2 linked regions of the Coturnix japonica genome follow. The protein of the gene in region 2 interacts with the protein of the main gene of each other region in a biochemical or structural test. Links are inferred from orthologs where the notes say so. Each region holds a gene or a part of one and is shown on either strand. Other genes may lie near its edges. The genes, in order: CRYBA1 and CRYAB.

Region 1 (4,374 bases), on a different chromosome or scaffold from region 2:
GCTGGAAAGGTGTCTGGAGAAGGAAGGAAAACCAATTGGTGCTGCAGAACACCCTGTTGATTGCTCCCAGCGAGACCCTCGTCAGCTGCGGAACAGCCTGAGGGGCACAGCCGTGGGCTCCCTCCTCCTGCAGCCTGCCTTGTGCTTTGGGGGGTCCGTGAGACCCCCGCTCCCATCCCTGCCTTTCTTGTTCCTCCCTTGAGCACTCCTTCCTCAGGAGTGTCGGGATGGCAGGAACTCACAGCCTGGGGTGCCAGTAGGGTGCCATGCCAGTAGGGTGTGGACCTGCCCCTAGCTATGGGGCTGCCCTCCACCCACTGTGCCAATGGGGCCATGTCACCCTCTGGGCACCTCTCCTGCCACTGGGCAGAGGAAGGGCTGCGCCAGGCAGCAACGGGGCGAGCGGGGCTGGGATGGGGCAGGCCAACCCCAGGACTCACCTAGCTCAGGCGGTACAGCTGCTTCGCCCATGTCATGTCTGCCTACTTCAGCGGCTCAGCTTTTATAGGGTGCTGCTGGCCCGGAGCCGGTGCCAGCGTTTGCAGAGCAGTCAGCACAATGCTCCCACTGGCATTGTCCTGCTGATCCCCGGAGATTTCAGCAGCTCATCCCCATGGTCCGGGCTACATTCTTGGTTGGGGGGTAAAAAAAAAGAAAAGGAAAATAAAAAGATCATAACAAAAATAATCGGGAACGGCTGTTTGTACAGATAATCTTGGGAGTGAATGACTCAACAGTTTGACGCTTCTGGCATTTTCCAGGGGCAATGCAGCGCCGTCACGGGGCTGGCCTGGCCCGGGGGGGCAGGTGGGAAGCAGCATGGCACCGTCTGGGGTCCCCCTGCCCTGTGTGTTGTGTGGGCAGCGAGGACACCATGATGTGGCTGAATCCTCCAGCCCTCCTCACACCACAGCAGGATGTGGGGCAGTGGTGGGAGCTGCTGCGGGGCCTCCTGGTCTCCATTGCTCATTCCCTGGGCCCATAGATGATGCCAAGCCTGTGAGGGCACGGGGCTGCCATGGGCCTCAGAGGTGCTAGGCCTCACAGTAACCATGGCAACGAGGCCTACCTGGGCCTGAAACCCCACAGTAACCATGGCAAAGAGGCCCACCTAGGCCTAAAGCCCCATAGTAACTATGGCAAAGAGGCCTAGCTACCCCTGAAGCCCCATAGTAACTATGGCAATGAGGCCTACCTGGCCCTGAAGCCCTATATTAACTATGACAGTGAGGCCTAGCTAGGCCCAAAGCCTCACAGTAACCATGGCAAACAGGCCCTGCTCCCCTTTCCAGCCATCCAGGGGCACCATGGTGGGCACAGGCCCGGACTGCCATGGCTGCTGGTGCTGGGAGGCAGCGTGGCAGTGAGGACTGCTGCTGCCTCAGCTCATGGCCGCCAGCACAAAGCGCCGCCCGCGTCTGACTGCCCCTTTTGTCTGCTCGGCACAAAACAAAGCGCCCTGTCAGCGCGGAACGCAGCCCGGCCTGGCGCGAGGCCTGCGGGGATCCAGCAGGGCTGGGATGGTGCCTGCAGGGAGATGGGGTGCCATTACTTTTAGGGGCAGCATTGGGGTGCTGTGTGGCCCCTTGTATTTAATGGGGTCAGGGTGGTAGAGCGGAACTGTGGGGATGAGATCTGAGTGTGACGAGGCCACTGATGGCGGTGTGGGGGTTGTCCTGCTGCTCCCAAAGGGGTCACCATAGGGGTGCAGAGCACAGCATGGCCGCAGCACCCCACAGCCCCCATGCATGCCCTGCGTACAACCCCACAGGGCTGGCTATCCAGGAGCTGGGTGCCACTAGAGGGAGAGCTCACCCTGCAGCCGGCATATGAGAATAAATATACAGGGCTGGACGGCAGCGTGCAGCCACACTGCAAACAGCCCATGGGCACAGCCTGCAGCGGGCAGCCAGCCCCAAACAACACCTCTGCCTGTTCCACAGCCTCACCCAGTGCTGCTCAGGGATCCACCATCATCCCACTCACACTGTGACCCTCATGGCTGAGGACAGTGGGAAGAACGGCGGTGAGAGCACCTGGGGATCCACCAGCACCAGCAGCACGTTGCCAGGTCCGCCGGCAGTCTGGAACAACTGGTTTTTCTAGATCCTGGAGCCTATAAAAAAAGCAGTGACCTATTTAGCAAAGCCCCGTGGTGCTGTGGAACAGATGCCTCCCCCCAGCCCAGCGCAGGGCCATTGCTCCTTGGAATGCCGTGCAGTGCAGGATTTGCCAATGGCTGGCACAGCCCCGTGCTTGGAGGAAGCTGCTGGCATCCAGTGGGATCTTGCATGTGTGTGCTGGGCTGCAGGCCGTGTTCCGTGGCCGTGCAGAGGTGTGTGATGCTCCGGGAGCCCCTGCACACTATGAGAAGGGCCACATTGCTGTCCCTGTGGCTGTCTATGGGGTGGTCCCTGCTCCCTCACAGCTCTCACAGTGCTCAGGATGGGCCACGTGGGGGGTTTTTTGCAGCCTTTTTGGGCTTGGGCTGTGCTTAAACCCCACTGACACGAGTGGGAGGGCACAGCAAAGGCTCGTGGTTTGCTGCGGGGCCTCCAGCTCCATCCTTGTGCCCACATGGGGATGCTGACCCTCCCCTTGCAGGCTCACAGCTCCGCTCCTTGCTGCTCCCTTCCTAAACGGAGCATCTCAGCTGCACCCTGTATGTGCATCAATGCGGGTGTGCGTGCAACCCACTGCGCTCACCGGGAGGGGGAACGGAGGGGGGTGTGTGTTCAACCCGCGTTGTGAACAGGTGCGTGCCCTGCAGGGTGCCCCCAATGTGTGCACAACCAGCGGGTGGAGGCGGGCACCGGGCTGTGCGCGTTACCGGTCACCACGGACACCCACCCGCAGCCCCGCAGTCCGTTGTATCCCGTTCCATCCCGTTGCATCCCGTTCCGTTCCATCCCGTTCCGTTCCGTTCCGTTCGGGGCCGCACCCGGAGCAGCGGGCGGCGCGCGCAGAGCCGGCAGTGCCCGCCCCGGTGCGGAGCCGCCCCGCCCCGCCCCGCGCCGCCGCCGCCGCCGCCGCCGGGGCCCGGCACCGCCGCCCCGCACCGCCCCGCCCCGCATCGCACCGCCACGGCCGGGCCCCGCTCCGCCGCCACCGCCGGGTGAGTGAGCGCCCGCCGCACCCGCCGCCTCCTGCACCGGCACCGGCACCGGGGCGGAGCCGCCGCTCCTGCACCCCCCGCACGGGCCGGGCCGCAGCGCTGTGCGCGTGTGCGCGCGTCCCCGCGTGCGCGTTTCCTCCCCCCGCGCTGCGAATGCTGCGTCCCCCCCCATCCCAAACCCACCCTGTGGGGCACCGCACCCCGCACCCCGCCGGGCTGTGACCCGCAGGGGGGGCTGCTGTGTCCCCAGTGGGTGCCCGTGCCGTGGGTGCGCACCCCCCCGGCCTGCCACCAACCCCCCCCCGGCCGCACCGTTACGGAATGACATTGTAAAGCCGTTCGCCCATCTCTATAGCATTGGGAGGGGGCTGCGGGCTGCCCGAGGGGCGCTTTGGGTAGAGCATGGGGCCGGAGGGGCTGTGGCTGCAGCGGGGTTTGTCCCCGTGTTATTTTGCCTGGGGTGCAGCATACAGAGCGAGTGAGGGCTGGCAGGACGCGTGTCCAGGAGCGGTGCGGTTTGCAGCCGGCAAAGCCTGAGATGCAAATCGTTTGGTCACCCGGTACCGCAGCTGCGCTCAGGGCGAGCACTGAAAAACGTGGGCTCAGGACATGGCCCAGGCCTTGTGCCCACGGGGTCCCTCGGTGTTGGGGGGGATGGACCCACCCCCTGCCCTGGGCTGAGCCAGGTGTAAGTGCTGTGCTGCTGCTGGACTTTGCCCTGTGACGAGCTGCAGCTGAGCCCTGTGCTGTGGGCTGGGCCCTGCTGGGGGGCACATTGCAAAGCAGGGCTGTGCTGCAAAGTGAGGGCAGCACACAAACCATGCAATGGCTCGTGCTGCCGGTGACCTCGTTGCATGGTGCATCCCAGAGCCTGGACCCTCCTTCCCACAGCACCGGGCAGTGGGGTTTTGTAAGGACCAGGTTGTGCAGTTGTGCTGCTTTGGTGCCAGGTTCACCCACCCCGTGGTGATGCATTGGAGCTCTCAGGCACTGGGCTGTGTTTGCCGTCAAGCTGTGACTTCTGTCGCTGTCTTCTTGCATGGGAAGCCCCCAAAATCCCGCTTCAGACAAAGGCTGGTAGCACGCTGTCCTGATGCATCCAATGGTGTCCACAAGGCAGCGTGCAGACGTTGGAAAGCCCCTAAATCTCCTCGGTGTGCGGAAATCCTGTGCTGGCATCCACCAAGGAGGCTGGGAGCCATCGCCATCCCCAAACTGAACACGAGTGGAGCACGGGGACCCCAAAGGGCCGCCACAAA
Region 2 (4,365 bases):
ATTGCATTCCTGTAGAGCTGCAGGCTCTGACTGCCGGCGGGGTGCAATCCTGCACCCCCTGGCTCTCCACCTTGGGCAGGGAACAAGAGGCAGGAACAGGGCACCCAGCACTGCCCCTGCCAACCCAGCAGGGCACAGGGCTATGCCTAATGGTGGCTGATGCTTGGTCAGGTTGTGTGCAGTCATGCAAAGTCATCGCTGTGAGTTTATCGCTCATATCAACCCCACAGAAAGGGATCTGTTTCCCCCAGAAGCTGAGTCTTTTGTTCCTGGGAGTGGTAAGGTGCTGCAGACCGCTAAGTGGCACTGAACAGGGTGCAGACCATGATGCTGACACTCCAGAACTGTGCCACTGTGAGCCAGCTGACCAGGCTGTGCCTTGGCCAGGGCTTCAGTGCTGCTCAGTGGGACCAGAGAAATGCCTGTGCTGGAGGTGGTGCATTAACCAGAGTCTGAAACTGGCCTAGATCCACTTTTACTAAACTGGGTGTTAGTACCCATTTAAGCTCCTTGTACTCTGAAACCAGAGATTTCCATGTCTCTGCAGTGCGAGAGAGCAGGTGCACTACTGCTGACGTAACATGGAACTGGATAAAGTATTTATGGCTGGGGCTTCTGCAGAGAGAATTCTACACCCTAATCTTGCAGGCAAGTGAACAGGAAGAGAGTCGAGCCCTTTTGCAGGGGACCGGTGGTGCTAGCAGTGAGAATCATGTGCCCTCAAGCCAGAAGTCTGTATTTAAGTTGCAGATAATCAGAGCTCTTGTCCTTAAAGGACAGCTGCTGGGCTGAACCCAGCCTCATGATCTGAACTGATAGCTGCTGGGCACAGGCAGATCAAGGTAGTTTGCATCCCAGAGAAGGCAAGCAGTGGTGCAGCTCTGCAGGGCTGCTGTGTGCCTGCTTTATCTCTGCTCACAGGGTGCTGGGCTCTTCTGCCCTCTCCAGCAGAGCGATTTCTCGAGTGGGCAAAGGACAAGAGTTGTCAGCTGATGCTCTGTGGAAACCATCCTTAGTGTGCACACACCAGCAGGTGCTCAGGTATGGTGCTCACCAGGCTGCAGAGCTGCACACCAGGGTACCTCAGCACAGACCTTTTGGGGTCCATGTTGCCCTCTCATTAAGGCCTGGGGCTTCCTTCACTTTAAGGGAAGGCAGAGCCCTTCCTTGGCGCGTGGGTGCAGTGGGGAACTGTAGCCTTGGTGCCGTCACTGGGAACAACAGTCCCTTGTCCTTTTCCATGTGAACCAAAGATAGGAGCTGCATTGATCCTGCTGGCATCCAAAGCAGCTGGGAACATCCGCCAAGCCTGCCTGGGACTCAACAGATAAACAGCACGTGGGGTGCAGAGAGGGTGGCTGGGCAGCTTGGCTTCTTGCTGTCCCATTAGTGTCCTTCTTCTCCCCTTCCCCCTCCTCCTTAGCAGTCTGTTCAAACCCCCGGACGCTCCTGGGCACTGCTGAAGGGACCAGTCCCGGACTGGGACAATAAAATCCCTGACACCACTATTTGAGAGGCCTCGGGGGGAGAGGCCCCGCCAGCCGCACGGGTATAAAGCTGCCCCCTGTGCTGGGCACAGCACCGCAGCAGTTGTTTGCTTGGCTCCTCTGTCGCACTCCGATGGATATCACCATTCACAACCCCCTGATCCGCAGACCTCTGTTTTCTTGGTTAACACCGAGCCGTATCTTTGACCAGCTATTTGGAGAGCACCTGCAGGAGTCAGAGCTGCTCCCTACGTCCCCCAGCTTCAGCCCCTTCCTGATGAGATCCCCCTTCTTTCGGATGCCCAGTTGGCTGGAGACGGGACTCTCAGAGGTAATCTTCCTTGCTTACTGTTTCTTGTTACCACTAGGTGCACATCCTGACGGGTCTGGAGCTGGGGACCCGGGAGAGCTGGGACACTGCTTGTAGGTAGTTAATAGGAAATCTATTATGAGGAAAAGAGTGCTGAGTTCTTGCCTCTGCTCCTTGGTGTTAGGCAAGGACCTCTGCACTCTCTGCTAATCACTTGTAACTGAGAGCAAATATTGCCACAGCCATGGGCACAGAGACAAACTGAGCTGTGTGTGTGCTGTGAATGACTGTAGAAGCCAGCAAGAGAAAGGAGGAAGCCTGATTTCTCTGTCTGCCCTGAAAAATTTTACATTCTGCGTCCTCCTGAGAAGCAGAGGGGCAGTGGGACCCCGTGCCAGGCAGCATGGGAGCCCCCAGATGCTGAGTAGAAAGGCCCAAGCTAAAGCATCTCTGCCAGGCAGAGCAGTGTTTTCAGAGAGATATGGGATGGGAGGACCTTTAAATGGCCATCTGCTTCGGGGGCTGAGGCACGCAGCTCAAATGACTTTGCTCAGCATGCAGGTCAGATGCCAATGTGCAAATAACTTAAAGAGTTACTCAAAGCCAGTGGAGTGAGAGGGAAGTATTTTCTTAATCTTTGCTTAATGTTTCCCTTGGTTTAGTCACCTGGTCTGGTCATATGCTGAAGCAGCCATAATAAGCACCACAGGTAACAACATCAACATCTGACTTTTTCAGTGGAGAAATCTTCACAGTAATCTAGCAAAAGGAGCAGGAAGCCCTCCAGGTAAAACTGAGGAAACCAGTAACCAGAAAGCTAGAACTGGCATGGAAGCTGCCTCCATGTCCCAAAACAGAGCTGCAGGAGGCTCGCGTTTTCCCTGACTGTGACTGCAGCAGGAAGGCAGAGACAGCCAGCCTGCATTGCCGTGTCCCACTGACTTATCCAAGACAGGCAGAAAATGCAAATTCAACCTCAGGAGCAAGCAAAAAGCAGCATTTGCTGGAGATGATAAAGTGCAGAATGGAAGGTAAGGATGCAAGATGAGCAGCAGGTGACTCAGAGTTTCAGCAGTAGCCCTGCTGCTCAGATAAGAGGGGTGAGCTGGTAGTGCTGCTCAGCTGAGACACGCTATTTTTGTTTTTAAAGAGTGACGACGCAGGGGAAAGCCTGCAAGTGACACAGATGAGCTGCAGCCAGCTGCACACTCTGTTTCTTTTTCCAGAAAGACTTAGCAAAATCCAGCTGCAGAGACTGGAAATCTCCAGACACCTCAGAAAAAGTAGATAGGAGTCAGTTTTAACAAATTCAGATTGAGAAAGTCTCTTTCTTATTTCCCAGAAAATATCTATTCTCTGTTTATCCAGAGAGAAAGCATCATGTTTTATGTGCTGTAGTGGTGGGCATGAATGGAACAGGCTAGCAAGAGCCAGATGAGAACCCCAGGACTGAAAACAGGAGGTCAGACAGTGCGTGTGGGGAGCCCAGCGTGAGCGTGACTTGCTGCATGTTGAGAGTCTGATGAAGCTGAAACCTCTGCCTGAAGTCGTCTCCTTGTTTTACAGATGCGACTGGAGAAAGACAAATTTTCTGTAAATCTTGATGTGAAGCATTTCTCCCCCGAGGAGCTAAAAGTGAAGGTGATTGGGGACATGATAGAAATTCATGGGAAACACGAGGAGCGCCAGGTACTTCTGTGTCACTGTTAACCAATGTGTGCTTCTTCACCTATGGTTAAACAAGGAAGCTGCAGAACAATCCTCCTCTGTGCTCTTCTGAAACACTTCCAGTGTTTTTGATCAACCAGTCCTAATGGAAGATGCTCTATGCAAACCCCCAGCTGATCCCAGACTGGGCAGCAGCAGAGTGGAGATTTAGTGCTGGTATTGCATGAACTGTGAACTGAACTGGAAAATCAACTTTGAAATAAGCATTTCCGGGCCTCCCTCTTTCTGGAAGAGGACAGGAATGCAGAGAAGCATTCAATAAGTTAACAATGAGCTGTAATAATTAAACCGCATAACGAATGAATGCATTGCCATGTTCCATTAGCAAGAAGCTATCTCTTCTTGAAAAAATACCCATTTACCAACTTACAGTCCTTAAAGGCTGTACTCTGCTGTCAGCCATCCCATTGCTTACTGGCTCTGTGGCAAAAGGTCAAAGAGAGGCCAAAAGCCACGTCCAAAGCTGTATGTAACAGGGATTACCTATCCTCCTATCCTTGCAAGAAGGAAACAAATCCTAAAGTACCTGTATCATTGTACCCATCAGCTCCAAAACTTCTGGGTGCCCAGATCTGTCAGTCAAATGCAGCACTACTCATAGACACTGGAAGCCTGTAATTCTGAAATAGCTTCTGCGGGGTTTTTTTTGTTTGTTTGTTTTTTGTTTGTTTTGGCTAAGAAATGAATCCAGAGCTAGAGCTGAGATGAGCTCACTGGGGAGCTGCATATGCTGTGGGCCCTGGAGACCCTCAGGAGGAGGAGCTGCTGGTTCTGCAGGTAGCTGTAACTCCTGCATCTTAGCCATGACAGCACAACACTGTGAAACGAAGCTGGCAGACA

The links.
Region 1: the proteins of CRYAB (region 2) and CRYBA1 form a complex in vitro, tested with the Homo sapiens proteins (2 studies listed by BioGRID and IntAct, with this or other methods). The link is inferred for Coturnix japonica from reciprocal best matches to the Homo sapiens genes CRYAB and CRYBA1.

Annotation. Positions count from the first base shown.
Region 1 is NC_029534.1:4,739,974-4,744,347, reverse strand, and holds the start of CRYBA1 (beta-crystallin A3), read right to left. Parts: upstream 2,951-4,374; 5' UTR 2,851-2,950; intron 2,828-2,850; exon of another isoform or gene 2,707-2,827; intron 2,117-2,706; 5' UTR 1,950-2,116; intron 1,188-1,949; exon of another isoform or gene 631-1,187; 5' UTR 472-630; coding exon 441-471; intron 14-440; coding exon 1-13. UniProt on the Homo sapiens protein: Crystallins are the dominant structural components of the vertebrate eye lens.
Region 2 is NC_029539.1:5,449,308-5,453,672, forward strand, and holds the start of CRYAB (alpha-crystallin B chain), read left to right. Parts: upstream 1-1,417; 5' UTR 1,418-1,620; coding exon 1,621-1,818; intron 1,819-1,894; exon of another isoform or gene 1,895-2,828; intron 2,829-3,363; coding exon 3,364-3,486; intron 3,487-4,365. Other genes in the region: HSPB2 (heat shock protein beta-2), read right to left, coding at 1-2. UniProt on the Homo sapiens protein: May contribute to the transparency and refractive index of the lens. Has chaperone-like activity, preventing aggregation of various proteins under a wide range of stress conditions.